Macaca mulatta: one gene and its partners. The protein of the gene in region 5 interacts with the protein of the main gene of each other region in a pairwise test. Links are inferred from orthologs where the notes say so. Each region holds a gene or a part of one and is shown on either strand. Other genes may lie near its edges. The genes, in order: HNRNPF, STK16, FAM124A, LMO2, CCDC33, PPP2R3C and USHBP1.

Region 1 (4,383 bases), on a different chromosome or scaffold from region 5:
CGCTGTCACGCCGGCAGGTAGCAGCGGGGTGGGGACGCGGGCTCCTTGGGCTTCTGTTTCCGGGTGCTCAGGGCAAAGGGCCGAGCCGGGGAGTAGGGCCGAGTCGGGGCCTGGCACGCCGGGAGCAGGAGGGCTTCCGGCAAAGCCGCGTGCTCTCGTCGGGCAGGCGCTAAGGACTGGGGCCGGCAGCGCGCCTGACCCCGCCCCTCGTAGGCCCCGCCCCGTGCTCGCAGCCGGGGGTTTCCATGGTGATGGTCAACAAGCCTCAACTGCCTCTGCTACAACTGCCAAGTTCCCCGCGTCCCACCCTCCTCTAGGTGCTCCGAGGGACCACCGGGGTGCCTGATGTGAGAGCGGGAGCGTAGAGACTCGGAGGCCGAGGTGAGGGGTGGCCGAAGTCTCCGACGTCGAAGGCCGCACACCCGTGACCGAGCGGGGACCGGGTCCCCCTGGGGGTGTGGACAGTGGGCCTGGGATTTGAGATTGGGGAGACCTTCCGAAGTCCAGGGCCCCGTACCCGGACTACCTGGGGTTTGGGCCTATTGGGGTGGGTGGGGCTGGGGCTGGGATTTGGGATCAGGGAGGAGAGATCTGAGTTTAAGCGCCACGCATCTGGGACCGATCGAGGACTGCACATAATGAGGGGCCGCGGCGCTGAGATTTGGGGGACGGATTCGAGGTCGAGGGGCCGGTACGTGGGACCGACGAGAACTGGACCCCCTGGGATCGGGAGACGCAGTGTCGGAGGTCGAGAGCCGCACGCCCAGATAGTGGTCCCACGCGGTGAGCACCGCGGGCTGAGATTTTGGAGTCAGGGGCTGCCGGGAAGACACGGCCGGCCGGTGCGTTAGTTCAGCCTCCTGGTCGGGCGCTGGCGACCACCGGAGGGCTCTGAAAGTGAGAACAGGCCTGGCTCAGTGGGAGGCCCAGCCGGGAGGATCTCTTGAGCCCAAGAGTTCCCGACAAGCCTGGGCAACATAGTGAAACTGTCTTTGCTAAAAAGTTAAAAAAAAAAAAATAGAAAGCCACGTGTGGTGGCGCGCGCCTGTTGTCCCAGCTACTCGAGAGGCTGAGGCGGGAGAGTTGCTTGCTCTGAGGAGGTCAAGGCTGCAGTGACAGTGACTGTGCCACTGCATTCCAGCCTGGCCGATGGGAGTGAGACCTTGTCTCAGAAGTAATAACAGTAGTAATAATACCTGAATAAAATGAAAGCCGCGCGCTCACGTGGCTGTAGGCGCCTGAGAGTTGCACAAGACTTCCTTGTGGGGAGTTGGCTCCGCCCTCCTCCCACGCCCGGTTCCCGGAGCCTTAGCTCTCTGCCCTGGGCCCATTTTCTTCCTCGGCGGCGCCGCGTGTCCTCGTAGCGCGGTCTCTGTGTTGGTCTCCTGCTCCTAGAGGTACCGTGTTTGTATCTGGGGTGAAAATCTGACTCGTGCGCGCTCTTCGGCTTAGTCGTCTTTTTTTTTTTCCCTTCTGCTTGTGTGTATGAAGCATTTTCGTCGATTCCGCCCTGCTCCTAGGAAACTTGAGGACGGGGCCCGGCTCCTGCTGCGCCGGCTGCCCCGCTCCCCCAACCGCAGAGTCGTGGACCAGGGTTTTGAGGAGCAGGGCACCCGACTCGCCCTCCCCGCCAGACCGCCCAGGTCGCGGGGACCCCTCCCGCTAGGTGCCTGGGATCCCCGCTCGGCTCCGCGTGTGTCCCGGCTGGAGGGTGGAAGGAGAGCCGAGCTCGGCCATTGCCCGCGGGGCGCCCTTCGCTGCGGCTTTTCGGTCTCCGAGCGGCCCGGGGACGAGCTAACGCGCCTCTTTAGTTTTCGAAACTGCTTGCGGGCGCTGGGGGCTCGGGCCGGCCATCTGCGTGGCGGGACAGGAGGCGCGCGCTGGCGGCTGCGCGCGAAGGGCAACGGGCGGCGACGGCGGCTTCCCGGAACCGCGCGGGGCGGGCGCTGCGCCGGGGTCAGGGCCACAGCCTCAGGCGGCAGGGAGTTCTGAAAGTGTTGTCTTCAGTCGTTCCTTTCAAAAAGTCATCTTAATTCTTCCAAAAATATACACATATAATTCTTTCTACTTATATTTTTAAAAGTTAGATACGTGGTTGTCTCTGAATTCCTAGTAAGATAAAAATTCATTGGGTTCTCTAGGTAGGTGAAAGATATCTTAAGTGCTATCCCTGAAAAGTGACTCGTTGCTTTTACAGAATTTATAAAATAAGACATTACTACTTTAATGAATGTAAAGAGAGAGATTGCTTTATTCCTAAGCAAAAAGATCTTTTGCCTTGTAGGTATTACATTCCGGTGTGCATTCTGTAGATTAGAGTCACTGCCGGCCGGGCGAGGTGGCTCACGCCTGTAATCCCAGCATTTAGGGAGGCCGAGGTGTGGGAGAATCGCTTGGGCGTCAGAGACCGACCCCGTCTCTATAAAATGATATATATATTATATATATTATTTTTTGAGACAGGGTCTCACTTTGTTGCCCAGGCTGTGTGATCTCGGCTGGCTGCCGAGATCCTCCTGTGCTCAAGGGGTCCTCCCACCTCAGCCGCCGAGTATCTGGGACCACGGGCATTCTCCAGCACGCCTGGCAAATTTTTGTATTTTTTGTAGAGATGGGGTCTCCTTGTGTTGCCCAGATTGATTTTCAAACTTTTGTGTTCAAGCGATTCTCACGCCTCTGCCTCCCAAAGTGCTGGGATTACAGGCGTGAGCCATCATGCCTGGCCACTTTTTTGTAAACTGTGAAGTTTTCTGTTAAGGGTAGCGTTACAAAGCTTTATTCAGGTAAAAATTGCAATTTATTTAAGGGAAAATAGTGAGTAAATAAAGTTACTTCTCCCACGTGGCCAGAACCTTGGAAAGTCTGGAGGCAAATGAGAGCCTAGTGCGGGTAGATGCCTGCAGGGGCTGCAGAAATGTGACAGGCCCTTTCCGTGGAGGTGACTTCTCTAATTCCCCTCCTCCACTGAGCTCTGGTTCTCTGCTCTTCGAGAGAACCACATTAGTTGATTCTTACTAGGTCCTAGAAGTTTTATTCCATTTTCTAATTACATTCTCAGGACTACTGTAAAAGGGGTTGCTATTAGCCCCAGATGAGAAAATGGAGGTTGGGAGAAGTCACGTGCCCAGGGACACAATTGGGACTGGGTCCCAAGTTGGACCGGGACACCCCTCCCCTGCCGGGGCCCTTGCCCTGTCTTAGTTCCCCTGAGCTACGGTTCTTTGGAGGGCAACAGGGTGGGCAGAGGGAGAACAGTCAGCCAAGACCACCCTGGGTTATTTTACAGCAAATCCCAGACCAATAAGGTGTTTATTAATAAATAAATCCGCAGTATTTCTAAGGACTTTTAAAATCTAACCATAATACTGCTATCATACCTAAAAATACATTCCAAAATACCAAGTTTCCAGGGTTTAAATGTTTCCGTATTAAATATTTTAAACAACTGGTTGGTTTGAGTCAGGATCCAAAGTCACACCTTATATTTTGTAGATAACTTTTTAAATTCAGAGCAGCACTGGCCAATAGAAGTATAATGTATGCTATAAATGTAATCTTATATTCTTTTTTTTTTTTTTTGAGACGGAGTCTCACTCTGTCGCCCGGGCTGGAGTGCCGTGCGGGTTTACGCCATTCTCCTGCCTCAGCCTCCCGAGTAGCTGGGACTACAGGCACCCGCCACTTTGCCGGGCTAGTATTTTGTGTTTTTTGGTAGAGACAGGGTTTCACTGTGTTAGCCAGAATGGTCTCGATCTCCTGACCTCGTGATCCGCCCGTCTCGGCCTCCCAAAGTGCTGGGATTACAGGCTTGAGCCACCGCGCCCGGCCAATCTTATATTCTCTAGTGGTAAAAGGAAACGTGATTCATTGTATTAATAATTTAACCTAACATATATCCACTATTAAAACACTTTCGTTTCTCCATGATCTTGACTAAAATAATTAAAAACAATCCTGTGAACCTGTCAAAATCCAGTGAGTTTTACACATACACATTTCAGGTGTGGTGAATGGATGCTGTATCAGTGATCATCTAGAAGTTCCCCTTTCTTAAAGGCCCCATTCCCGGTTATATTTGTCGGGTTGTCTTGCAGCATTCCTTCCCCACACTTCGCATTTTTCTGATTGTTTTTCCCTGGTGGCCTTTGAGTCTCTGTTCTTTATATTTGCTGTAAAGTGATAGTTACCTCTAGAAGTGGTGTTGGTTTTGGTTTTATTTTTGTTTTTAAAACAGAGTTTTGGTTTTGTTGCCCAGGCTGGAGTGCAATGGCAGTGATCTTGACTCACTGCAACCTCCGCCTCCTGGGTTCAAGCAGTTCTCTTGCCTCAGCCTCCTGAGTAGCTGGGATTACAGGCGTATTTTTAGTAGAGACAGGGAATCAC
Region 2 (4,378 bases), on a different chromosome or scaffold from region 5:
TGCAGCGCCTCCAGCTGACTGAGGAGGAGAGGAATGTGAGGACGCTGATGCGGGTCCACGGTCATCATCGAGGCCAGGAGCTGCCGCAATGCTGAAGAATGCCTGTGGAGGGAGGAGTGCAGGGGGACTGGATGACACCTATCTGTCAACCCAGCTAATACCAGGGGGCAGTCTGAAGTACTTGATGCCCCATTCGTTGCTTGCTCACCTGGGGCTTTGTGGGATGCTGAGTTGGTTCTGCACAGCAAGGGCCACACTGTCACCCTTTTGGAACACCATGTCATAAGGGCCTTCTCCAAACATCATGGCATATAGCACGCAGCCTAGGGACTGAGCATAACTTGGTTAGTCCCTAGAAGGGGACCAATGGAGATAACATCGCTCCCCTTACTTCTGTGGTAAAAGACTACATAAGCTAAAAAGAATAAGCTGACCTCAGCCACATGGCACCACCAGGGCACAGAGAAACTGCCAGTCGGTTGGAGGCCTCCGCAGCCCCTGCTTAGCTTAGCCCCTGCTCTTCAGTACTGATACTGAGCTGTACTCACCTTGTTCGGGGCAGGGATTATACCACATCCGGTGCAACTGGGTACAGTATCAGTGACAGTTCCCAGGAAGGAAGTTGAAGTGGATGGGGACATACTGTGGTTCCTGGGGCCCCATGCAACAGAAACCAACGACCTACTCTACTCCACAGCAGGTACAGAGCCACAGCCCTCCCTACCCAGATACCCACCCACATGCTCCTCACCCAGACATCAGTCCGCTCATCGATGACACAGTGACTCTGCACAGAGAAGAGCTCTGGGGCTCGGTAGGAGATGGTGCACCGCTGGGCTGCCCAGTCCTGGAACAGTGATCCCAGAGCTCAAAAGTGGGGCACTCGTCATGGTCATGTGACCAAACTGGGGCATGCACCAGAAGGGGTGGGAATGGGGAACAGGTGAGAAAAGGAACCTGGAGATTTTTTTACCTGCAGGGTCAGAGCCTGGCGGGAGCCCTCCACATTGATGCATGCTTGATTCATAGAACCCAAGTCCATTAAAACTGGCTGCCCCTCATCTCCGAGCAATATATTGGTGGGCTTCAAGTCCCTGTAGGGAAGTAGAAGTGACCTATGAGCATCTCTGGACAGGAAGGCTGGAATCCCAGCAAGCAAAAGAATCATACAGGCTGTTTCTTGGGAGAACAGAAACCTCCCATTTCTCTTGGTAAGGCTCTTCCTCTGGGCCCCAGCAAGCATACAGGGTCCTCCCACTGACCTGTGGGCATAACCCTTGGCATGAATGGCCTCAAGGCCTCTGCAGATCCCCAGCAGCAGCCAAAGGATTTGATCCTCAGTCAGGAAGTTGCCTTTGTCCTTCAGCCTTTCTATCTCATTCCACAGCGTACCTCTCTGCAACACAAGTTTCCCTACAGTTGGAGATGTTTTTGGAGCCTCTGCTCCTTAGGCCTGATCCCTTCCCTATGTCAAAGCCTATCAGCCCTTTCATGATACACACCTCAAACTCAAAATCTAAAGTGGCCAAACCCAGGACATGGTCCCTGCTTCCTAACATGCTGGACTGCTCACATAGCCCATGGGTAGGTGGCTCTGTTGCAACCCCCTCCATAACCGGGAGTCTTTCTGACCTTGAAGAACGGTAGCAGCAGCCAGGCCTCATGCTTAGCACCCCGCTCCCTCAGACAGTAAGCCACGAGGCGAAGGATGTTTGGGTGACTGAAGAGGCGATGCATGTCGGCTTCTCGCTGGGCCTCCTCCCGGTCCTGCTGCTCGTGACACAGGATTCGCTTCAGGGCGTAGAAGTGTCCATCATGTAACCCTTCCACTAGGTCCACATAGCTGAACCCACTGTGGGCCAAAGGGGTCAATGAAGGGTCATGGTCATCTCCCACATGGCTAAGACCTAGCGAAATTTCCTGGTGGGGAGTGGGGTGTCCTTCCCATTTAGCAGAAACCCTCCCAAGATGTGGCTCTAAGAGAAATCTGAAGAATATTACACTGTGAGCTCCTCAGGAGCAGAGATACAGAAATCTTTGAGGTCCTATGGTCGTAATAGAGACCTCTGCACGTGACAGATGCTAAATAAATAATAGCCAACACTTTTTTTTTTTTTTTTTTTGAGACTGAGTCTGGCTCTGTCACCCAGGCTGGAGTGCAGTGGCCGGATCTCAGCTCACTGCAAGCTCCGCCTCCCGGGTTTACGCCATTCTCCTGCCTCAGCCTCCCGAGTAGCTGGGACCACAGGCGCCTGCCACTTCGCCTGGCTAGTTTTTTGTATTTTTTAGTAGAGATGGGGTTTCACCGTGTTAGCCAGGATGGTCTCGATCTCCTGACCTCGTGATTCGCCCGTCTCGGCCTCCCAAAGTGCTGGGATTACAGGCTTGAGCCACCGCGCCCGGCCCATAATAGCCAACACTTATCAAGTACTTAAGAACCACGCACTGGGTGAGACATTTTATACACATTATCTCATTTAATCCTCACAACTCCATCAGTGAGGGATGATAATCATCTCCATTAAACATATGAAAAAAACATGGTTTATCAAGGTCACATGAGGTGGATTTAGCAGGCCTGGCTCCAGAATCCACCTTCTTGATGCTGTGTAGCTAGGCTCTGTCAGGTGAGAGGAGATAGGGATAGGGATAAAACCCTTGTGCCCCAAGCACGTGCACACCGCTTTCCTTCAATGACCACAACCTTGAGGCCTAGTTAACTGACTTCCAAACACTCACCCCTCCCCCAGTTTCTGGATGAAGAGGTAGCGCTTATTGTCAATGATGACAGTTCCCCGAGAGCAGACACACAGCGCGTGGCCCATAATGTTTCAGTCATCCTCTTCAAGGACAGTCTGAGGCTACCGAAGAGCTCGTCCAGGGTGAGTGGGCTCTTCCAGGAGATGCGCTGGGGGCCAAGCGGATCATGCTGGAAAGAAAACAACGGCAGGGTCTCACACAGGTCCGGCACAATCTAGACGACTCATGAAGTACCAAGGCGGAGAGCTCAGGCCCAGGTCTCTGGAACCTACACTATTGTCTAGAGAAAATGGGCCTTGCTCCTTCGCCAGCTTCAAGCGGCGGGGGTCAGGGGCCTTATGGCCTCAGGATACACAGCGGCTACCGGGCCACTTCCTCCAACCCCAGCCCACCTTTGGGCAGGCCCCGCTCCCACACCCGTCGCGCCGCAAAGACAGAGCACAGCGTAGTTTCAGAGGACGTGCGAAGCTCACGCCCACTCCTGGCAGGGCCCACCCCCGGCCTAGGAGCCCAGAGTCTGGAATGGGCCAGCCTGCACTCCCCGACTGACCTGGCTCGGGACAGAGCGAAGCGCCACCGACCGGAAGCAGTGCTGACATCATCAGTCCGCGGCGGCGTAACGGCCCGCGGTATCTTAGCAACCGCTGGGCATCTGGAGGATGTGGGGGCGCGGAGCTGAGAGGCCCAGGGCGAGCTAGGTCTAGGGGTGGACGGGTCCCAGGACCCTGGTGAGGGTTCTCTACTTGGCCTTCAGTGGGGGTCAAGACGCAGGCATCTGCGCCAAAGGGGAGCAAAGCCGGGCTCGGCCCGAGGCCCCCAGGACCTCCATCTCCCAATGTTGGAGGTAGGAGGCTTCATACCTCCGGCGCTCTGGGGCAGAAAGCGGCTACTACACTGCAGCCCGGAGGGGATTCCAGGTAGGGGCGGGTCTGGTGGCCTGGTCTCCTGATCCCTTACAACCTTCCGGGCTCTGGCCTGTATCCCACTACCTCTACTCTCAGTGGTTAAGAGCTCAGGCTTGTGAACCAGACTTTCAGTTTCTAAATTGAGTGTTAATAGCATACTAGGTGTGTAACCTCGGGCAAGTTACTTAACCTCTCGGATCCTTACTTTTAGTAGCTGTAAAATAGGTATAATAGTACCTAATGTTAAGTAGCTTAACTGTGAGGCCAGACTGACTAGTTCAAACGCCAGCTCTGTTAACGTAGTTGTGTGACCTTGGACAGGCTACTTAATGTTTCCCTCCTTTCCTCTCCTCCTCTGTAAAATGGAAATGATAATTATCTACTTCATGGAGTTGTTTGAAGATTAAATTAGATGTACAGTGTTTAATACAATATCTGACACATAGCCTTCAGTACATGTCAATAAACAGTAATTATTATTACCCTGATCTTCACATCCCATTCTTGAGATTGTAAAGTCAAAAGAAAAGGAAATTCACAAGTTTCCAAGCCTTGGCACAAAGCAGTTGTCCTTAACATCTGTTGCTGAGGCAGGCAGGGTAAGCTGGAGAGGGGTGCACTTCCAAAGAAGGTGGAATGGCCAGGAGGGAATTGCTGTTTTGCTGAAACGGTGCTCTCCAGGAAAGAGGTCCTTCTCGTGACCTGGTTCCTTC
Region 3 (4,412 bases), on a different chromosome or scaffold from region 5:
AGAATCTGATTAAAAAAAATAAGTTTCTTCTCATACAAATTCATGAAGCACATCATTTGCATACAACGTGAAGCAATTCATGGACCCCAAATTAAGGATCACTGCCTTAGCTGATGTGTCACTTGAGCTGATTCCTGAAAGAAGAGTAGAGTTTCACCTGGCAGACAGGCATGTCAGGTGGGGAGGGCAGAGCTGGCAAAGAGGGCAGCCTGACAAAGGCGAGGAAACAGAAAAACCTGTCAGATGTGGCTAGATACAAGGCGCATAGAAGGACCTGCTGAGAAACAAGGCCAGGGAGGGAAGAAGGGACTCCATAGCAGGAGCCAGGGCATATAAACCACGTTAAATTCCTTGCATTTGTAGATAACTGAGCCATAAAAGTTTGAAAAGGAGAGACATGATCAGATTTGCATTTTAAAAATACTAATGATAGCAAACTTATTGTTTTCTATGTGCTTTCTACACAATCTCTGTGAAAACTGGATAGGGTCAGGGGTGGGGGCAAGCTCCAGAAAAGTAGGGAAACGATGAACAGCTTTTTGATAACTGAAATTCAAGGGCTCTATGAATATACGGAAAACACAAAACTAATGAGCATACATTGAAACGCATGCTATTTTACCTTTAGTTTAAGGATGCTAGTGATACAGTAAGAATTTCTGTTTCTTTTGAGATGGAGTTTCGTTCTTGTTGCCCAAGCTGGAGTGCAATGGTGTGATCTCGGCTCATGGCAACCTCTGCCTCCTGGGTTCAAGCGATTCTCCTGCCTCAGCCTCCCGAATAGCTGGAATTACAGGCATGTGCCACCACGCCCGACTAATTCTGTATTTTTTTTTAGTAGAGACGAGAGTTCTCCATGTTGGCCAGGCTGGTCTCGAACTCCCGACCTCAGGTGATCTGCCCACCTCAGCCTTCCAATGTGCTGGGATTACAGGCGTGAGCCATGGCGCCCCGCCAAGAATTCTTTAAACAATTCTGTCCTGTTACAACTACACATTTTAGTGACAGAGGCTGAGAACAGAAGCTCTGGTGTCAGCAGGAGTGGCGAGCCCCTCCCAGGAGGCCTGGCAGCTGTCATGCTGATGTCTAGATCCTGGGGCGATATCACCCCCTGGGTCAGGACTTCCTCTCCCTTCTCTAAGACAGAGCCCTTGAAAACAACATCAGTTTTAGGTGAGCTCTGCAAATTGAAAATGAATAGACTAGTGAACGCTTTATTTAACGCAGCTACAAATAAGCTGGTTAATTTTGCTTTGTTTCTTCTATTCATAGTCCAGCTAACTAGTGGCAGAAAAAAAAAAGCCAATAATCTTCAATTAAAGTTGATACATGCCACTTATACAAAGAGTGGGAAGAAGAAAGGGAGTTTAGCATTTAGCATCAGGTTACTCCACCAGATTATAATTGGGTGCTGTAGAGAGCTATGAATGAGTTTAGATAACAGAGAAAGCCCATTGCTGGGTGAATGCCCTAGGGAGTAAAGTCCCACATTTGGGCTAGGAGTGGTGGGGCAGGAGGGGCTGTGTCGGGAGCTTTGCCGGGGTTGGGTTAGAACTCTGGGTCGATTGTGGGCCTAGATTCTCTACCTGCCCTCACAGGGTTGCCAAATCCTGAGATTAGTCTAAAACCTCTCCGACCTTTCAGGAATGAGGCTTTCTGCAGTCTGGGCAGCTCCCGCCCTCCCCCAGGATTACTCCAGATAGGAAAAGACATCCTTTCCTCCTGGGTCAGTACCCGTGGCCTGGATGTGGTGCTGACTCTGCACAGGAAAGTCTTTTAGATATAGGGGCTGCCTGGAAGCCTTTATAATGACATTCATCTCCTAAAAGGCATTTTGTCTTTTGTTCCGCTCAGGAAAACAGTGTTTGGAGACTAACTAATTAGTCTCCAAAGGTTTGAGCTCATTGTTTGAGTCCGCTGAAGCGAAGAGAATATTTAAAAAAAAAAAAAAAAGAAAAGAAAAAAAAGGCAGGGCTAGATCCTAATCTTAACACCATCTCCATCCCGCCGGTACAACAGGCCAACGGTTCCGGCTGGGACAGGTGCACTTAGAGGTGACGAAGTTCGGCGGGACTGGAGGAGTCGAGGAAGGGGACTCGGCAGCACAGATTAAAGTCCCACGATGAAGCCATATAACGAGAAATGCCATCCTCCTAGCCGACTTCGGAAAGACTTTAGGTGCGGGTGTCCCACCCTGCTTTTCCTCCTCTCCCCATCTCCAGGGCCGGACTCCAGGGTGCTCCGGAGCTACAGGAGGAAAGTCCCCGAGGAAGGAGGAAACAAGTGCAAGAGCATCTCCTGTCTCTAGCGATGCTGACAAGGGCTCTTTGCATCCGCCTGGCGCTCTGCATCGCCTCACCGGATGGGTGGGCTTGCACTGAACCTTGAGCCCTTCCACTTTCCTTCCCCCGGGTGGGGCCCGCCCTGCCGAGGGCAGCCACGGATCGCTCGGCCCGCCTGGGAGGCAGCGGAGGATCCGGCAGGAGAAGCCCCGCGCCCCTGTCCCATTGCGGGGATCAGGAGGGTCCCCAGCCAGGGAGAAGCCGCCGCGCAACTCGGAGAGCGCCCCCCGCCCGCGGTCCGGCCCGGCGCGGCTCACCCTCCGGTCTCGGCGCCCGAGTCCACGCAGTCGTCCTCCTCGCCGCCGCCGCTCGCCTTCGGGTCCATGATGCGCGTCCCGGCCGCGCTCGGCTCGCGGGCGCCGTCGTGACCCGGGACGCGCTCCTTCCCGGCCGCTCCCTCCAGTCCGAGCCGGCCGGGCTCCCCGCGAGCGTCTGGCCGCCCTGGAGCCGGCAAACAACTCGAGCGCCAGCCGCGAACCCCGCGCCGCGCCCTCTCCCGGCCGCTCCCGGCGGGGCACCCGCGGCCGCGCCCGCCCCGCCCCTCGCCGTCCGGCGGGACCCGCGTGTGCGCGCGGCGGTGCGCGGGGAGTGCGCGCGAGCGAGTGCGTGAGCGCGTGGGGGGCGTGTGCGCGTGAGTGGCCGAGGCGTGTGAGGTCCCGTGCGTCTGTGGATGCGGTGTGAAATGGGTGCGGTGTGCACTCCTGGTTGCACGCGACTGTGGCTGTGCTGAGCGCGTGTGCCCATCTGTGGTGCGTGACCGCGTATGTGTTGTGGGGGCGGGGTGAGTGTGCACAGAAGAGCCGCCCCTCCCAGGCCCACAGTCCGGGAATCCCGAGCCCTAGGGCTTGCCACGAGGTTCCCCAGCTCCTGATCCGGGAGGAGCACTGAGAAAACCAACCTCAGCGCATCGTGAAAGCTGAGAAGGATTTGTTTCCCTTTTGGGAACAATGCGAATACCTGGGTGTTTTCTTATAGTTTCTGAAGAATTGCTGACGCCAAATTCATTATCACCTTTCTCAGTACACATCTGAGTGGCATCCCACCCCCCAACTTGCCAGTTTACAATAGGTGTCATGCATTCTTTTGCTACTTAAAAAAAAAAAAGCCTTTAAAAATAATTTAGAGCATTGAATGAACCTGCAATTCACGGATTGTTGCAGCAAGGGGATAACCTCAGGGTGAGTTAATGATCACTATTGGAGGGGCTCACCTCCTATTAGGAGGGTGAAGAGGGAGGCAAGTTGGCAGGGCGGTCGGAAGGAGAATCTGAACAACCTGAATTTAGTTCTGACAGTCCTATCCAAACCATTGGGAGGAATTGTCCTTACTGAGCCTAAAATTCCTTGCACCCCGAGCAGCAACGGACATATTGGTGCTCATTAGCTGAAAGAAAGGAGCGTGCCAGTTCTTCAGGGGAGATTCGCCTGCCTGTGCACTGATCTCTAAAAGAAAATTCTCAAGTAGGGTGAGAAACATTGTGAGTGATGCATTGCACAATGTCATTAATGATCATTTTTAATGTACTGATTCATTCAATAACTAAATGCCAAATAGGAGGGTGAACTCTGCATATACAAATGAGAGAAAATAGCAACAGGTATGATCCTTGCCTTCACTGCACTTACAATCCAGAGGGGAGACAGTTAAACAAATTCTGTGTGTATGTGTGTGTGTATATATATTATTATTATATATGTGTAACAAAATGGAGATAAACCACTATGAAGGAAAAGAATAGTGTGCCCAAGAAAGAGAGAACATAATTCAAATTGTGAGAGAGCAGGGAAAGCTCTCTCAGGGAGGGATACCCGAGCCCTCTTCTGCCTCAGGGCGTTTGCACTTTCTGTTCCTTCTTTTTGAGATATTTTCTCCCAGATTTTCTGCAAGACTCCCCCCACATTTCCTTCTGTTCTGGGTTCACATGGCCCCTCATAACGGAGGCCTCACTGACTAATCCTACATCACAGTATCCCCTTACCCAACTCTATTTCTTAGCACTGTACTAGGAGCTGGCAGATGATAGATTTATTTACTGGCCACCTGCTCTTTCCTCCCTACCCATACCCCTAA
Region 4 (3,848 bases), on a different chromosome or scaffold from region 5:
TTCAAATGATTTGACAGGGATGGAGTCAAGGGTCCGATGGGATTCATTTACCCGTCTGCCTTCTCACTGACTTGGCAAAGTGGGAGTGAGCAAAACCAGGTCTGTATTTATCCCAGTTCTATTTTTTGGGACTTAAAAAAAGGAAAACTGACCAAAATTATAAGCATGATCATTGCAAAACCCTACTTATTTTCTCGGAACCACCATATCTGCAAGGACTGCAAGGACTTTATCTGGGAATTCAAGAAGGACAAAAGGCTTCTTCCATCAGTCTTTAGGTAAAGCCTCCTTCACTGTGAAACTGCCTGCAGTTTTTCGGTTTGGTTTTGTTTCTGTAACGTCAAATGCTCCGAGGGCAGGTTCGAGGGGAAAAGCTGGCCCAGCAGCCAAGGGCGCTGAGGTCTCAACAAGCTTCCATGGGTTGGATGGTCTGGGTGCATCAGGGAAGCATGCCTCATAGACCCTCTGCTCCAGGAAGACGGAGAAATCCTGACAGCTACACAGTTGAGCAGATCTGACAGTAGAGGGCACAGAGAGTTACCTCCACAGCAGCTCCTCGAAAACTAGAAACGCTAGTACATTCTAGGCAAAGGCATTCACAGAGTGCTGGAAAATTCGGATGGCCAACGGAAGCATGGGAGATGTCCTCAGCTCCTGTTTTACTTGGCGTGGTCGAGTTCCTATTTTACCCTTCCATTCTTCCATCCCTTTGCTCATTAGATTGGAAAATAATGATTACGTCATAAGGATAAGTTATAAGAGCAGCTAACATCTATTTGATCCATACCGAGTCAAGTAGTTTATCTGCATTATTCCATCAAATCCTCCCCACATCCTTAGAGGTAGGTGCTATTATGATCCCCATTTTACAGATGAGGAAATCGAGTCTTAGGAAGGTTAAGTAACTTTCCCAAGGCCACTAGGAAGCAACGGTGTTGGGACTCGAACCTCCAACTGCCTGCAGGGCCTTTGCCTTCTGTTCTTCAAAGACCGCCTTTCTGCTATGAGTCAATGCTTGGAGCTCCACATGCTTTCTATTGTTAAATTTCTCATCATATAATACTGGAGTCATACAAAAGAATATTTATAACATATATATGTGTGTGTGTGTGTGTGTGTGTGTGTGTGTGTGTGTGTGTGTGTGTGTTCTGAAGCATTCAAATGAGGTCCTCAGAGCCCACCTCCTAAGTTAGAAACACTCCCAGTTCCTCTGATCCTCCGTGCGTACTCCTCCTCAACCCCATCCCCTGGCTTCTCCCGCTCCCCAAGGGAACAACTCTGAATTTTGGGGTTACAATTCTCTTGCCTTTAAAGATATTAGTATTTTACCACATAGGAACGTAACCCTGAAAATATGCTTCTCAAACAGGAAGAAATGCCCTCTGCTTCTCGGCAGGGGAGCTGAGACTCAGTTTCTGCAGCCTGACCTCTTTCTATAGGTGGTGTCTAAGCCTGGAACAGGGTCGGGGGCAACATGCACAGACTGCAGATGTCCAAGGACCCCCCAGCCTCCCTTCCGAGGGCCCCAGTGGAGTGCCGCGGAGAGTACCTGAGATAGTCTCTCCGGCAGAGCTTCCGGCCCAGTTTGTAGTAGAGGCGCCGCCCCACCTCGCCCAGCCGGCAGCCACAGAGGTCGCAGCTCAGGCAGTCCTCGTGCCAGTACTGGTCGATGGCCTTCAGGAAGTAGCGGTCCCCGATATTCTGCTGGCAGCCGCCGCATGTCAGCAGGGACGGGGGGATCTGCAGCACCTCATCCACTGGTTCCCTGGAGAGAAGGCCAAGCATCAGGGACAGCCTCACCAGGGTGAGACCAGCACCGGGGGTCCCAGATCATTTTGGGCCAGACAGGGTACCTCACCTGACTGCCTTTTGGTGACCTAAGGGAGAAGGGACAGGACAACACATCCCTTGGCCAGATTGCAGAATCCCAACCAACCTTGGGTTAAGACGGGAGAGAGCCAGACCTTACTCCCTAGATCTCTAAGAAGTCAACACAAGGCACCAAGAGGCATCAAAGGCAACTGCAGGTGGCACTGTGCCCCTGGCCCATGCCCAGCACTACCTGGGCACCTCTGGTCTCCTTCTGCTTTTTCCCTCTCTCCCCGCTGACTCTCCCTCTCTGTCTTCACAGATTTCCCTCATTTTCCTCCTCCTATACCCTGGACCCAAGGGCACTGCCTAACCTCAGAGGCGGCACCCTGGACTAAGAGAGTCGCTCACCACCAGGGCAGCGGACGACCCAGAGAGCTAAGAATCTGCAAATCCCCTGTTGAATAAAGTGCCATCCTCCCTCCAGCCCTTCCCACCCGCACAAAAGCAGAGGTGAGGAAGAAAGAAGAATGAGACCAAAAATTATTTTAGGCTGCTTTCTCTTTCCAAAATAAAAATTCCATCAGGATATAATAGGAATTCTCCTAGTTTTACTCTTTTACAGAAATTCCATTTTCCATTCTTCCTACTGAAGGAATACTTGGAGGAAAATCCCATATTGTAAGGCCATTGTTACACTTATGAAGAACATCAAATAGGCCTTTCTTTCCTTACCTGAACATTTTTATAACAGTAAAGCTGATTCGGATAAAGTTGATTTGAGGAAGAAAATGAAGTGGGGGCAATGATTATTTCAAAGAGAGTGGAAGGCAATTAAACAGTCATTGACATCTCAATCCAGCAATTGTTAATAGGCTGTGACACGCGTTCTTTCATTAATGTGCCATGCATAGTATCTCTTGTTCACTTTGCTTCACTGGAATCTGAGTACTTTTTTAACATTTAAAAATAAATAATTTTGCTAAAAGAAAATAAACGAGTGGAAGGAATTATTCTAGTGTCCCCCAAATGGGACACAGGAAACACTTAATACTTGTTGATTTGTAATAATTAGCAAGTGTTCTCTGGAACCTTAAACACAAATCTATTTCTTAAAAATCTATTATGTTTCAAAAACCAGACCTTCTTCCAACTGTAAAATTCCCAAAGGGAGTTTCCTCCTGGGTGCCCTGCAGGTATAAATCCACGTCTCCTATTTCTAACTAGTACTAACTTACCAGGTGACCTTGTGTCCTAATTGGTCTGAGCCCACAAAGCCCAGCAGTCATTATACTTGGGGACAGGAGGCTAGGTGGCTCAATGTCTATAACACTCTTGACAACTTCAGAGGATTCTGTCATGTGAAGAATGAAGCCTTTCTTGTGAATATTTAGAAGTGTTAAAGCCATGCCCACACTTTCTAGATACAGTGTAATAGCACTTCATGAGATTATCATCTTTGGAACAAGAAAATGTGAAGTTCAAGTTAGTTTATCTGGGAAAAAAGAAAAATGGCCAGGCATAGTGGCTCACGTTTGTAATCCCAGCACTTTGGGAGGCCAAGGCAGGAGGATCACTTGAGCCCAGGAGTTTGAGGCCAGCCCGGGCAACATGGCAAAATCTTGTCTCTACAAAAAATATAAAAAATTGCCCAGGCTTGGTGGCATGAGCCTGTAGTCCCAGCTACCCAGGAGGCTGAGGTGGGAGGATCACCTCAGTACAGGAAGTTGAGGCTGCAGTGAGCACTGCACTCTAGCCTAGACAACACAGTGAGACCCTAGCTCAAAAAAATCAAAACTATAGTTTCTTTTTTTTTTTTTTTTTTTTTTTTTTTTGAGACAGAGTCTTGCTACAAATTTGTTGCCCAGGCTGGAGTGCAGTGGCACGATCTCGGCTCACTGCAAGCTCCACCTCCTGGGTTCGCGCCATTCTCCTGCCTCAGCCTCCCAAGTAGCTGGGATTACAGGCATCCGCCACCAGGCCCAGCTAATTTTTTGTATTTTTAGTAGAGACAGGGTTTCATTCACTGAAGCCTTGCT
Region 5 (3,848 bases):
TTCTCATTTTTTAAATTGCGTTGTCTTTTTGCTGTTGAGTTGTATGAGTTACTCATATATTTTGGATATTAACTCCTTATCAGATACATGGTTTGCAAATATTTTCTCCCATACCATAGGCAGCCTTTTTGTTTTGCGGATTATTCCCTTTGCTGTGCAGAAACTTTTTAGTTTGATGCAGTCTCACTTGTTTATTTTTGCTTTTGTTGCCTGTACTTCCGGTGTCATATCCAAAGATTAAATGCCAAGACCAATGTGAAGGAGGCTTTCCCCTATGTTTTCTTCTAGGGATGTTACAGTTGCAGGTCTTACATTTAAGTCTTTACAAATAAATACATATTTTTAAAAAAGCATTGAAGTATTCATCATGAAGAAAACGAAAACTTTTGTGAACTTTCTTATGCCTATTGCGTGCTTTGTTACTTGTGTATTTGTAATCAGATGTGCAGGGATATAAAATTCTTTCCAGGGTCTATGGCCTCTGAGGATCTGGATCTTCCCTCTGGGGTTCCTGCCTGGGGCTGGCGGCCAGCACTGAAAGCCCCCTTCAGGTCCTGACAGCTGGGCCCTCATTTTCAGAAGCCCTTCCTTCTCCCTTCATTTGCATCTCATTAGCACCACCTCGAGCTGGTGGCAGCTCCACCTTTCTGGAGCCCTGGGACGCAGGCTGCAGCCTGGCCCAGGCGCTGCTCCCAGCTGGAGAGGGGTGCAGCGACGTGCTTTCCCCTCCCCCTTCCCCGCGTTCTCTGTCCCCACCCTCTCTCCCGCCCCACGTGCTGCAGCCACAGGGAGGGCGCAGGAGGACTGGGGTGTGCCCGGCTCTCTTATCCCCACCCAGGCTCGGGTCGCCTAGGCTCCTGCCGCGCATTCCCATGGCAACCGGGTGATGGCGCGGGTCGCGGTGCCTGCCTAGGAGCCACGCGGCCACCCAGCTCCCCGCCCCGCCGCCCAGGCTGGATTGGTGACAGTCAGGGCCTCAATCTCCCGAGATGATCGGCGATAATTGGTTTATGGAAATAGCTGAGCGGAGAAGGCGAGCTCCCCGCTAGAAACAGCCTCCCTGCCAAGCCTGCTCCCGCCACCTGTCCTTCCCTCACCACGGAAATGGAGTTGGGGGAGGGAGGGCCGAGGAGCTGGGCTGGCACAAATGGGGCTTTTGAGGCAAGTGTTTCACCTGTTGGACTCGGCACAGCTTCTATCCCTCTTTCACAGTGGGGTGCTGGGGGGGCAGGGACTTGTCATAGTAACCAGGTGTTGGCCTCAGTCACTCCTTGGCCCCTAAGTCTGGGCTCAGGCCTATGTTGGGTGCATTGTTGGGGGAAATGGAGGAGGAGATCCGTCCTCAGGGAGCCCCAGAGGAGTGCATAAACCATATCGATATAAAGTACTTCAGACCAGTGTCACCACTGCTGTGGTGCTCCGGAGGAGGGAGAGCTCAACTCTGGTGGCTGCCTGGAGGAGGAGGCTTTGAAGGCAGGATTTCAGCAGGCATTGGTGAGAGGGCTGGGGCAGGCACTCCCCAAAAGGAAATGTGGGCAACAGACTCTTGGCAGGAACTGAATGGTGCTAGTATTGGGGGAGGGGAAGTATAGGGTGGCTTGGTGGGAGGCCACCAAGGCTCCCACCGTCTGTCTATAGAAGGGGTATAGGGTTGATGTGCTCCTTGGAGGGTGCTTTATAGTAAAGATTGAGCACATGTCTAGTGTCCCCAGGGAAGGTTGGCTGGATGGAGATTGTGTTGCCACTTGGTGCCTTTCTGGAAGAAGTGAGACCCGTGAGGTGGGCATAGATGTGGCATGGCAAGCCTTGGCGCCAGGCTGGGGAAGTGTGTACCCTGACAGCAGCTGGCTGGAGGGGGTGTGTGGGGTGCATTAAAGGCCCAGAACTATGGGAGTCCCCATGATAGAAGTGACTGGAGAAGGAGGGGAGGGGAGGGTGGTTATGAAGACCCTACCCCAGGGCTGGGTATGGTGGGGTGGGGCACCCAGAAGTCAGGAGAGGCAGGCCCCAAATATTCCCCTTCCCCAATCTGACCATCATGCCCATGAGCCCAGCCCAGGCCTCTGCATACAAGCGCCCTGCCCCACTGGAGCTGAGCTGTGGCCAATCCCTGCCCCGTTGGGGTGGGGTGGGGAGGGGTGACTCTCTGGACTCCTTGGCACCCTGCCTTCCCCAGCCCTGGTGAGCAGCTTCCCATGCAGCATTGGAGATACCAGGCAGTGCCCACAGTGGCTCTTCCCCTCTGGGTATGACCCAGTCCTGGGCCTTTGGGTGCTCATATTCCAAATAGCTGTCCCCTGGTTTCTGCTCACAGCCCAACCCATCCCCTGACCCCACTCTCACACAGCTACTTACACCACCACATAGGGCCATGGCTCGGAACCATCCTTGCAGGCAGGCAGGTTGGTGGCTCCATGGAGGGTGACCGTGATGGTCTCCTTGTTAGAGGGAGACAGGTGACCCATCTTAGGTTCCGTGCTCTGGGAGGCGACCAGGGGCTCCTCTGGGTCTTCAGTGTTCTGTGGGGAAAGCCAGGGCTAAGAGGCCTTTTTTTTTTTTTTTTTGCGATGGAGTCTTGCTCAGTTGCCCAGGCTGAAGTGTAGTGGTGCCATCTTGGCTCACTGCAACCTCCATCTCCCAGGTTCAAGCAATTCTCCTGCCTCAGCCTCCCCTGTAGCTGGAATTACAGGCAAATGCCACCACGTTCAGCTAATTTTTGTATTTTTAGTAAAGATGGGGTCTCCCCATGGTCTCCAACTCCTGACCTCAGGTGATCCGCCTGCCTCGGCCTCCCAAAGTGCTGGGATTACAGGCATGAGTTACCACACCTGGCCCTGAGTGGCCTCTTCTGCTGCGACACCTCCCTTCACTGCCACCCTCTAGCATCTAGCCCCTCACAGCTCCCGTCAAGTGCCTGCCTCCCTCTGTCACCCCTCCGCCCACTCTGTAAGTCAGTCGCCTTGGCCTCATTTTCTCCCTACTTCTGTTCCCATCCCACATCTCTTGCAGTGCCTTTCAGCCTCTCCCCCAGCCCTGGATCCTACCCTTCCTGCTGGATGAGACAGGCCACCTCACCTTTCAAGTCTGGTCCCACTTCTAAGCCTTGGCTTTCGCAGGTGCCCTTGTCTGTAATTCCTAAATCTCACCTGCTTTTGCAGTTCTAACAATGGGCCACCTTCTTCAGTCTATCCTGTAACCTCAGCTCAGCCCACCCATCACCTCAGGCCCCTCCTGTGCACAGCACTTTACAGCTGACAAAGTTTCTCCACGTCCACGGGGGCACTCAGTGCACATGGAGGTGAATTCGTGCATCTGTCCCAGATGCCCCACCTGTCTTCTACCCAGGAACCTTGTGGACTGGGGAGGAAGAGGTGCCTGCCCATGCAGGGGGCCTCCTACGCCAGTTGCCTCAAGCAGGGACTCAGCAGTTTAGTAATTCGTGGATTCATGGCCCAAAGGACCATTGTGATGAGAGTTGCCGAGAGAAGACAGAGCTCTGGGTGGCTGAGGCAGTCAGGGAAGACAGCAGGAAGGAGGAGGCCTTAAAGGGTTGGAAGAAGGTGCAGGAGTGGAGTCAGGGAGGACAGGCCAGAAGCAGAACGCTGGAGCAAAGGCAGCAAGCGGGAAGGGCAGAGCTTTCCAAGGCCCAGAGGTGGCTCATTTTGACTGGGGAGGCAGTGGGGACTCAGGGAAGATGGCAGAGCTGGGCATATAAGCGCTGTGGGGTGGGGAGGAGTGTGGCCATAGGGCTGCTGTGGCTCAGGGGTGTCCTCCTCCTCCCTGGTCCTGGTCCTCCACTGGTCGGCTGGCTGACTTGCCACTCCCAGTTAATCTGACCTAGATTAACC
Region 6 (4,447 bases), about 56 Mb from region 5:
TAAAGTACAGGTACCTTCTTTTGTTTTTGAGACTGAGTCGTACTCTGTCACCTAGGCTGGAGGGCAGTGGCACGATCTTGGCTCACTGCAACCTCCACCTCCTGGGTTCAAGTGATTCTCCTGCCTAAGCCTCCTGAGTAGCTGGGATTACAGACACTTGCCACAACACCGGGCTAAATTTTGAATTTTTAGTAGAGACAGCGTTTCACCATGTTGGCCAGGCTGGTCTCGATCTCCTGACCTCAGGTGATCCACCCACTTCAGCCTCCCAAAGTGCTGGCATTACAGGCGTAAGCCACTGTGCCCAGCCAAGTACAGGTAACTTCTTTGAGAAGTTTTCCTATAAAGAGTGCAGAGAAATGCAGCAGAAGCTGGAGAGGAATGTGGGATCAAATGACTCTTTTTTTTTTTTTTGAGATGGAGTCTCGTTCTGTCGCCCAGGCTGGAGTGCAGTGGCATAATCTCAGTTTACCGCAACCTCTGCCTCCCGGGTTCAAGCGATTCTCCTGCTTCAGCCTCCCAAGTAGCTGGGATTACAGGTGCGAACCACTGTGCTCAGCTACTTTTTGTAGTTTTAGTAGAGACAGGGTTTCACCATGTTGGCCAGGCTGGTCTTAAACTCTGGACCTCAAGTGATCCACCTACCTCGGCCTCCCAAAGTGTTGGGATTACAGGCGTGAGCCACAGTGCCCAGCCCAAATGACTTTTTTTAAGACAGGGTCTGACTCTTGTCACCCAGGCTGCAGTATAGTGTCATGATCATAGCTCACTGCAGCCCCAAACTCCTAGATTGAAACAAACCCTCCTTCCTCAGCCTCTAGAGTAGTTAGGACTACAGGGGTGCAGAACCACCAGGGCTAATTTTTTTACTTTCTATTTTTGTAGAAATGGTGTTTCACTATGTTGCCCAGGCCAGTCTCAAACTCCTGGCCTCAAGCGATCTTCCCACCTTCGCCTTCCAAAGTGCTGGGAGTGAGCCACCCGGCCTCCCAACAACACTCCCCCCACCCACCCACCTTTTAAAAAGATGGGTGATATCAATAGCACACTTGTGCTGGTGAAAATGATCCAGCAGAAGGAAAATCTGACGATGTATGAAAGAAAGGATGAGGCTGGAAGGAAGTCAGTGAATACAGGAGAAAGAATGCAATCTAGTGGTGGAGTGGAGGACCTCTTAAATAGGAACATGGACAGTTCATCATTTTAACAGTGAAGCCAGAGTGTATGGGCACCTGTGGGGTTGTGGGGCTGAAAGAAACGTTAAGGGGGACAGATGAGGTTCTCCTTTGACTGCTTTTTTTTGAGACTGAGTCTCGCTCAGTCGCCCTGGCTGAAGGGCAGTGGTGCAATCTCGGCTCACTGCAAGCTCCGCTTCTCGGGTTCAAGCGATTCTTCGGCCTCAACCTGTGGAATAGCTGAGACTACAGGCGCCCGCCACCACGACCGGCTAATTTTTTTTGTATTTTTAGTAGAGACGGGGTTTCCCCGTGTTAGCCAGGATGGTCTGGATCTGCTGACCTCGTGATCCGCCCGCCTCAGCCTCCCAAAATGCTGGGATTACAGGCCTGAGCCACCGCGCCCGGCCAACTGATTCTCCTTTCTTAATGAGATATATATTTAAAAAAAAGTTCATCAGCTTAAAGTAAGAAGTGGGTAGGACAGACTGCAGGTGTAAGAGATGAGAAGAATGGACTGTAAAAGAGTGTTGCCTGGGCGCTCACGTCTGTAATAGCAACACTTTGGAAGGTGGAGGTAGGAAGACTGCCTGAGGCCAGGAATTCGAGACCAGCCCTATTAAAATAGCAAGACCTCACCGCTACTAAAAATAAAAAATTAGCGGATGTGGTGGCGTGTGCCTGTACTTCCAGCTGCTTAGGAGGCTGAGGTGGGAGGATCCTTTGAGCCCAGGAAATCGAGGTTGCAGCGAGACGTCACTGTGCTGCTGCACTCCAGCCTGGGCAACAGAGGGAGAGCCTGAATTAAAAAAAAAAAAAAAATAGTGTATCTAGGGAAACACAGATTGGCAGTTTGGAAGATGAAAATTGAATGTAGGAGAATGAACGTCCAGGAAAACACGGTAGACATGACCGAAACATCTACTTTAGCTTAGTGGACATGTACTAAAAGTGAGATAACTCGGCGGGGCGCGGCAGCTCACGACTGTAATTCCAGCACTTTGGGAGGCCGAGGTGGGTGGATCACGAGGTCAGGAGTTTGAAACCAGCCTGACCAATATGGTGAAACCCCGTCTCTACTAGAAATTAACCCGCCGTGGAGGCGCGCGCTTGTAGTTCCAGCTACTCGAGGCTGAGGAAGAAGAATCGCTTGAACCCGGGAGGCGGAGGCTGCAGTGAGCTGAGATGCTGCCACCGCATTCCAGCCAGCCTGGGCGACAGAGCAAGAGACTCCGTCTCAAAAAAAAAAAAAAAAAAAAAAGTGAGACAAGGTTCTGTTTTTCTCCAGCCACTTTCAACAGCCCTTAGTGCGGGTGTGGAATAGGAAAGCTAGATTTAACGAGGTTAGTTAATAAGCAATGTGAAGGAGAAAAATAAAAGGAAAAATGGATTATGAAATATAAAATGGATTAGGAGGGAAGCAAAAAGCGTGACAGTAAAAAGGCGGTAGGACAATTACAGGTCCTGGTGGGGTTGAGGCGTTGTTGGATCCGGGGTTCTAAGTTATTCTTCACAAGTTTAGATTAAGACCATGGAAGTCAGTGACTAAGGCTAAGTTTTTCGTTCCCCCAGACTCCGTCCCAGGAAAGTTTGGGTCAACCCTATCGGGATCCCTAAAGCACATTCCACTCCGCCTCCTTTGTCGCGAGGTTTCACAGAAGCGGAAAGTGCGGCTCCCCCTTGCTCCTCCTCCCCATCTCCCTCCTACCTCTAGGAGTTTAGGGCCGGGCCATCCCAACGGACGGCCCCTCCCAAAACTCACTGTTTGGACGGGTGTTGGGCGTCGCTAAGCGCCGACGAAGAACTTCTTTCCAGTCCATGGCCGACTCTCGCGCAGCAGCTTCTGCATTTGCTGTTTCCTACCTGCTCCACCCCTACCAACTCAGGCGTCAGCACCGCCAGGCCCCGTAAAGGTTAGGAAGGCCGCTCAACCACCATCTTGAACAAGGGCGGAAGTCTTGGCTAAAGAGGCAAAAACAATTACTGTCACTCCCGCGGAGAATACCGCTACCACGCTGACTGGGGCAAAGCTATGAAAGAGATGGAAAATGGTTCCCCTTCAGGAGGCGTCCCAAACTCACCAAGCCCGATTTTAAAAGGCAGGATAAGCCCGCGTTTTCCTTTATCGTGCGCCTTTGGCGCGTGCGCACCACGTGACTCAGAAGTTAATTGATTCCGGCTTGAGGGAAGCGCTTTCTTTCACAATTTCTTTTCATTGTTCATTGCGGATATCTGTAAGTCCTCCAGGTCCCCTGAATGTAGTAGACGCTTCCGCAGCCGTCTCTTACCCCTTTTGCCACAAAATGCTTCAAAATTGCCTTTTTTCCTCGCCGCCAGCCCAGGCGGAACGCCTAAGTCCGGGTCAGTCTCGTCAGTCGGCCGGGGCTGGCGCGGTGCATAGTGGGCACTGTAGTTCCCGCCGCGTTTATGGCCGCGTTAAGCCTGAGTGCCGCGTTGAGTTGTTGAATGAAGTGAACTTCGTTTGTCAGCGATAGGTACGCAGTCTAGGCAGCGCCCTTCCTGGATCTCTCTTCCTTTCCCGAGTCGTTGGCGCACCTGACTCGCCACCTCCTCCCTCCGCATCCCTCCATCGGAGGAGCTTTGCGGTCTTTGGAGAGTTATGCAGGGTGAGGGCCCCTAGACTTTGGCTTTCGCCGCTGTTGCTGGTGGGCTGGAGTTGGAGGCTCCTGGATACGGTTTTGGCTTTATACGCCCTTTCCAGCAAGCTTCCCGTGGGAATCTGTTCCTTTTCAGGACAACTGTGATCCACGTGAGTAAAACTGGGCGTTCCTTCTTGTGCTTTTTCCTCAGGTTCATGAACTGGAATGTAAGAGGCACCAGAGGATTCCTGCTCTGTCCCCTGGTTTGCGGCTTGCGACGTTGGACATCCCCGGATTGTTGTTTAATAGAGAAAACTCACCTGCCTTCTTGCTATTAAGTAACCCCAAAAGCAGAACTTTGATTTGTCTGTAAGGAAGAAACACAAATCTTCTTTTAAAAAGCTGCACTTCGACTCTCCACTGCCGACCACCAATCCCTTTAATTTTGCTATAGAAGAGGGTTTTTTTCCAACATCTCTCTCACTATCTGGTGCTGATCTCACTGCATAATGACTTTCTATTTGTTTGGTATTCGAAGCTTTCCTAAGCTTTGGAAGAGCAACCCATACCTTGGGCTAGGCCCAGGGCACTCTTATGTCTCTCTCTTTCTTTCAGACAGCTGTGGCATCAGGAGCCAACAGAGGTTGTTTTCTCTTAAAACAATGTCTCCAC
Region 7 (2,632 bases), on a different chromosome or scaffold from region 5:
CTAGATAGCTTTACAGGCACATGCCACCATGCCTGGCTAATTTTTGTATTTTTTTTTTTTTGTAGACATGGGGTTTTACCACGTTGTCCAGGCTGGTCTTGAACTCCTGGGCTCTAGTGATCCACCCACGTTGGCCTCCCAAAGTGCTGGGATTATAGGCGTGCACCACTGCGCCCGGCCCCCTTCAGGAAAATCTGCCAGCCAAACCCAGCATCTCCTTGGGAAGGAGCTGCCAGGAGAAGCTTTGTCCAGTCCCCATGAATCCCTCCCTGGGCTTCAGGAGACAGGCCAGTTGGAACTTCAGCTGTGGCTATGCAACCTCACGGACCTCCAAAATTCGTCAGTCCCAGAGACCTGGTCCCACAGCCCAGGTTGCTTCTGGCCTGACCCCACTGATGTGAAGTTCACATTCCACTTGGTGCCAGGCCAAAGACACCCAAGTCTTTCTGCATTGCGTGGCCACACCCATCAGGCCCTGGACACCCATGTGCACCAGCTTCCCTCATGCCAAATGTGCCCCAACATGCCAAATCATGCAACATGACATGATGTCACTCCAGGATAGTTTATGACATGCCACAGCGGTCTGGCATGTCCAGACATGGCTGGGTAAGGGGCCTACAGAACGGTATCCCCAAGCTGGGGAGGCGGGGGGGGCGGCCTGGGTTTCCCCAGGGCCCTTGCAGTGGCTTCGAGCACCGCCACCTCCTCAGCCTGCTGAGCCTCCATGAGTGCCATCTGCTGCTCCAACTTCCGGCATTGCTCTTCCTGCTTCCGGTGGGCTCCTCGCAAGGCCAGGACCAGGGCGCTGGAAGGGGTGGGTGGGCTGGGTCAAGAAATAGCCCCCGACTCCACCCAAGGCAGGGGCCATGTACTCCCACTCCCAGAATGGGGGCTTTTTCACATTGGGTCTCCCAGGGTCCCAGCTAACTGGTCTTTTTGTTGTTGTTGTTGTTGTTTGAGACAGAATTTCGCTCTTGTCGCCCAGGCTGGAGTGCAATGGTAAGATCTCCCCTCACTACAACCTCTGCCTCCTGGGTTCAAGCAGTGCTCCTGCCTCAGCCTCCCAAGTAGCTGGGATTACAGGTACCCGCCACCATGCCCAGCTAATTTTTTTGTATTTTTTAATAGAGACAGGGTTTCACCATGTTGCCTAGGCTGGTCTTGAACTCCTGACCTCAGGTGATCCGCCTGCCTTGGCCTCCCAAAGTGCTGGGATTACAAGTGTGAGCCACTGTGCCCAGCCTGTTTTTTCTTGTTGTTGTTTTTTTTTTTTTTTTTTTTTTTTTTTTTTTTTTTTTTTGAGACGGAGTCTGGCTCTGTCGCCCAGGCTGGAGTGCAGTGGCTGGATCTCAGCTCACTGCAAGCTCCGCCTCCCGGGTTTGCGCCATTCTCCTGCCTCAGCCTCCCGAGTAGCTGGGACTACAGGCGCCCGCCACCTCGCCCGGCTAGTTTTTTGTATTTTTTTAGTAGAGACGGGGTTTCTCCGTGTTAGCCAGGATGGTCTCGATCTCCTGACCTTGTGATCCGCCCGTCTCGGCCTCCCAAAGTGCTGGGATTACAGGCTTGAGCCACCGCGCCCGGCCTGTTGTTGTTTTTTTGAGATGGAGTTTTGCTCTTGTTGCCCAGGCTGGAGTGCAATGGCCTGATCTTGGCTCACTGCAACCTCTGTCTCCCGGGTTTAAGCGATTCTCCTGCCTCAGCCTACCAAGTAGCTGGGATTACAGGCATGCGCCACCACGCCTGGCTAATTTTGTATTTTTAGTAGAGATGGGGTTTCTCCATGTTGGTCAGGCTGGTCTCGAACTCCCGGCCTCAGGTGATCTGCCCGCCTTGGCCTCCCAAAGTGCTGGGATTTCAGGCATGAGCCACTGTGCCTGGCCCAGCCTGTTGTTTCTTTTTTTGAGACAGAGTCTTGCTCTGTCGCTCAAGCTGGAGTGCAGTGGTGTGATCTCTGCTCACGGCTACCTCCAACTCCTGGGTTTAAGCAATTCTCCTTTCTTCCAAGTAGCTGGAATTACAGGCATGTGCCAAGATGCCCAGCTAATTTTTGTACTTTTAGTAGAGATGGGGTTTCACCACATTGGCCAGGCTGGTCTCAAACTCCTGACCTCAGGTGATCTGCCAGCCTCAGCCTCCCAACATGGGATTACAGGTATGAGCCACTGTGCCTGGCCTTTATTGCCTATTTTGGGGCAGCGGGGAAGGCTAAGGCCCAGAGAGAGCCAGGGATACTTCTGAGATCCTGGTGGGGGATGGTGCCAGGGGGATTGGAGGGATGCAGAACAGGGGTCCCACCTGTGGGCTTTGCATAAATCCCTGTTCAGCTCGGCACTCTGAGACCGTCTGGCTCGCCCCTTCTGAGCCACCCGTTCCAGCTCCCTGCGCAGAGACTGCAGCTGCTCCCGCAGGTCCAGCGTCCTGTTGCGAAGGGGAAGAGGAGGGCTCACAGCCCTAGCCCATCCTATTTCCCACGTCTCCTCCTACCCACCTGCCCACAGTATTGTCATGTAAACACACCTGTACACAGGGGTACACCTTAGCTTCTGCTGCAGACAGCCCCCCCGGGGGCTGTCACATAGGCTGCCCATCCCCACCCAGCCACACACCTGGTGAGCGATGCTGCCAGTTC

The links.
Region 1: the proteins of CCDC33 (region 5) and HNRNPF interact in a two-hybrid assay, tested with the Homo sapiens proteins (3 studies listed by BioGRID). The two-hybrid records come from large-scale screens. The link is inferred for Macaca mulatta from reciprocal best matches to the Homo sapiens genes CCDC33 and HNRNPF.
Region 2: the proteins of CCDC33 (region 5) and STK16 interact in a two-hybrid assay, tested with the Homo sapiens proteins (2 studies listed by BioGRID and IntAct). The two-hybrid records come from large-scale screens. The link is inferred for Macaca mulatta from reciprocal best matches to the Homo sapiens genes CCDC33 and STK16.
Region 3: the proteins of CCDC33 (region 5) and FAM124A interact in a two-hybrid assay, tested with the Homo sapiens proteins (2 studies listed by BioGRID and IntAct). The two-hybrid records come from large-scale screens. The link is inferred for Macaca mulatta from reciprocal best matches to the Homo sapiens genes CCDC33 and FAM124A.
Region 4: the proteins of CCDC33 (region 5) and LMO2 interact in a two-hybrid assay, tested with the Homo sapiens proteins (2 studies listed by BioGRID). The two-hybrid records come from large-scale screens. The link is inferred for Macaca mulatta from reciprocal best matches to the Homo sapiens genes CCDC33 and LMO2.
Region 6: the proteins of CCDC33 (region 5) and PPP2R3C interact in a two-hybrid assay, tested with the Homo sapiens proteins (2 studies listed by BioGRID and IntAct). The two-hybrid records come from large-scale screens. The link is inferred for Macaca mulatta from reciprocal best matches to the Homo sapiens genes CCDC33 and PPP2R3C.
Region 7: the proteins of CCDC33 (region 5) and USHBP1 interact in a two-hybrid assay, tested with the Homo sapiens proteins (2 studies listed by BioGRID and IntAct). The two-hybrid records come from large-scale screens. The link is inferred for Macaca mulatta from reciprocal best matches to the Homo sapiens genes CCDC33 and USHBP1.

What each region holds. Positions count from the first base shown.
Region 1 is NC_133414.1:55,882,352-55,886,734, reverse strand, and holds the start of HNRNPF (heterogeneous nuclear ribonucleoprotein F), read left to right. Parts: upstream 1-1,320; 5' UTR 1,321-1,397; intron 1,398-4,383.
Region 2 is NC_133417.1:124,492,793-124,497,170, reverse strand, and holds the start of STK16 (serine/threonine-protein kinase 16), read right to left. Parts: upstream 2,928-4,378; 5' UTR 2,826-2,927; coding exon 2,740-2,825; intron 1,853-2,739; coding exon 1,633-1,852; intron 1,397-1,632; coding exon 1,263-1,396; intron 1,095-1,262; coding exon 974-1,094; intron 848-973; coding exon 752-847; intron 331-751; coding exon 209-330; intron 103-208; coding exon 1-102. UniProt on the Homo sapiens protein: Membrane-associated protein kinase that phosphorylates on serine and threonine residues. In vitro substrates include DRG1, ENO1 and EIF4EBP1. Also autophosphorylates. May be involved in secretory vesicle trafficking or intracellular signaling.
Region 3 is NC_133422.1:30,450,309-30,454,720, reverse strand, and holds the start of FAM124A (protein FAM124A), read right to left. Parts: upstream 2,804-4,412; 5' UTR 2,668-2,803; coding exon 2,600-2,667; intron 1-2,599.
Region 4 is NC_133419.1:31,416,158-31,420,005, reverse strand, and holds part of LMO2 (rhombotin-2), read right to left. Parts: intron 1,766-3,848; coding exon 1,550-1,765; intron 1-1,549. UniProt on the Homo sapiens protein: Acts with TAL1/SCL to regulate red blood cell development. Also acts with LDB1 to maintain erythroid precursors in an immature state.
Region 5 is NC_133412.1:52,157,238-52,161,085, reverse strand, and holds part of CCDC33 (coiled-coil domain-containing protein 33), read right to left. Parts: intron 2,520-3,848; coding exon 2,356-2,519; intron 1-2,355.
Region 6 is NC_133412.1:108,239,352-108,243,798, forward strand, and holds the start of PPP2R3C (serine/threonine-protein phosphatase 2A regulatory subunit B'' subunit gamma), read right to left. Parts: upstream 3,027-4,447; 5' UTR 2,996-3,026; coding exon of another isoform or gene 2,938-2,995; exon of another isoform or gene 2,875-2,937; intron 1-2,874. Other genes in the region: PRORP (mitochondrial ribonuclease P catalytic subunit), read left to right, coding at 4,285-4,447. UniProt on the Homo sapiens protein: May regulate MCM3AP phosphorylation through phosphatase recruitment. May act as a negative regulator of ABCB1 expression and function through the dephosphorylation of ABCB1 by TFPI2/PPP2R3C complex.
Region 7 is NC_133424.1:17,736,788-17,739,419, forward strand, and holds the end of USHBP1 (harmonin-binding protein USHBP1), read right to left. Parts: coding exon 2,610-2,632; intron 2,422-2,609; coding exon 2,299-2,421; intron 809-2,298; coding exon 619-808; 3' UTR 547-618; downstream 1-546.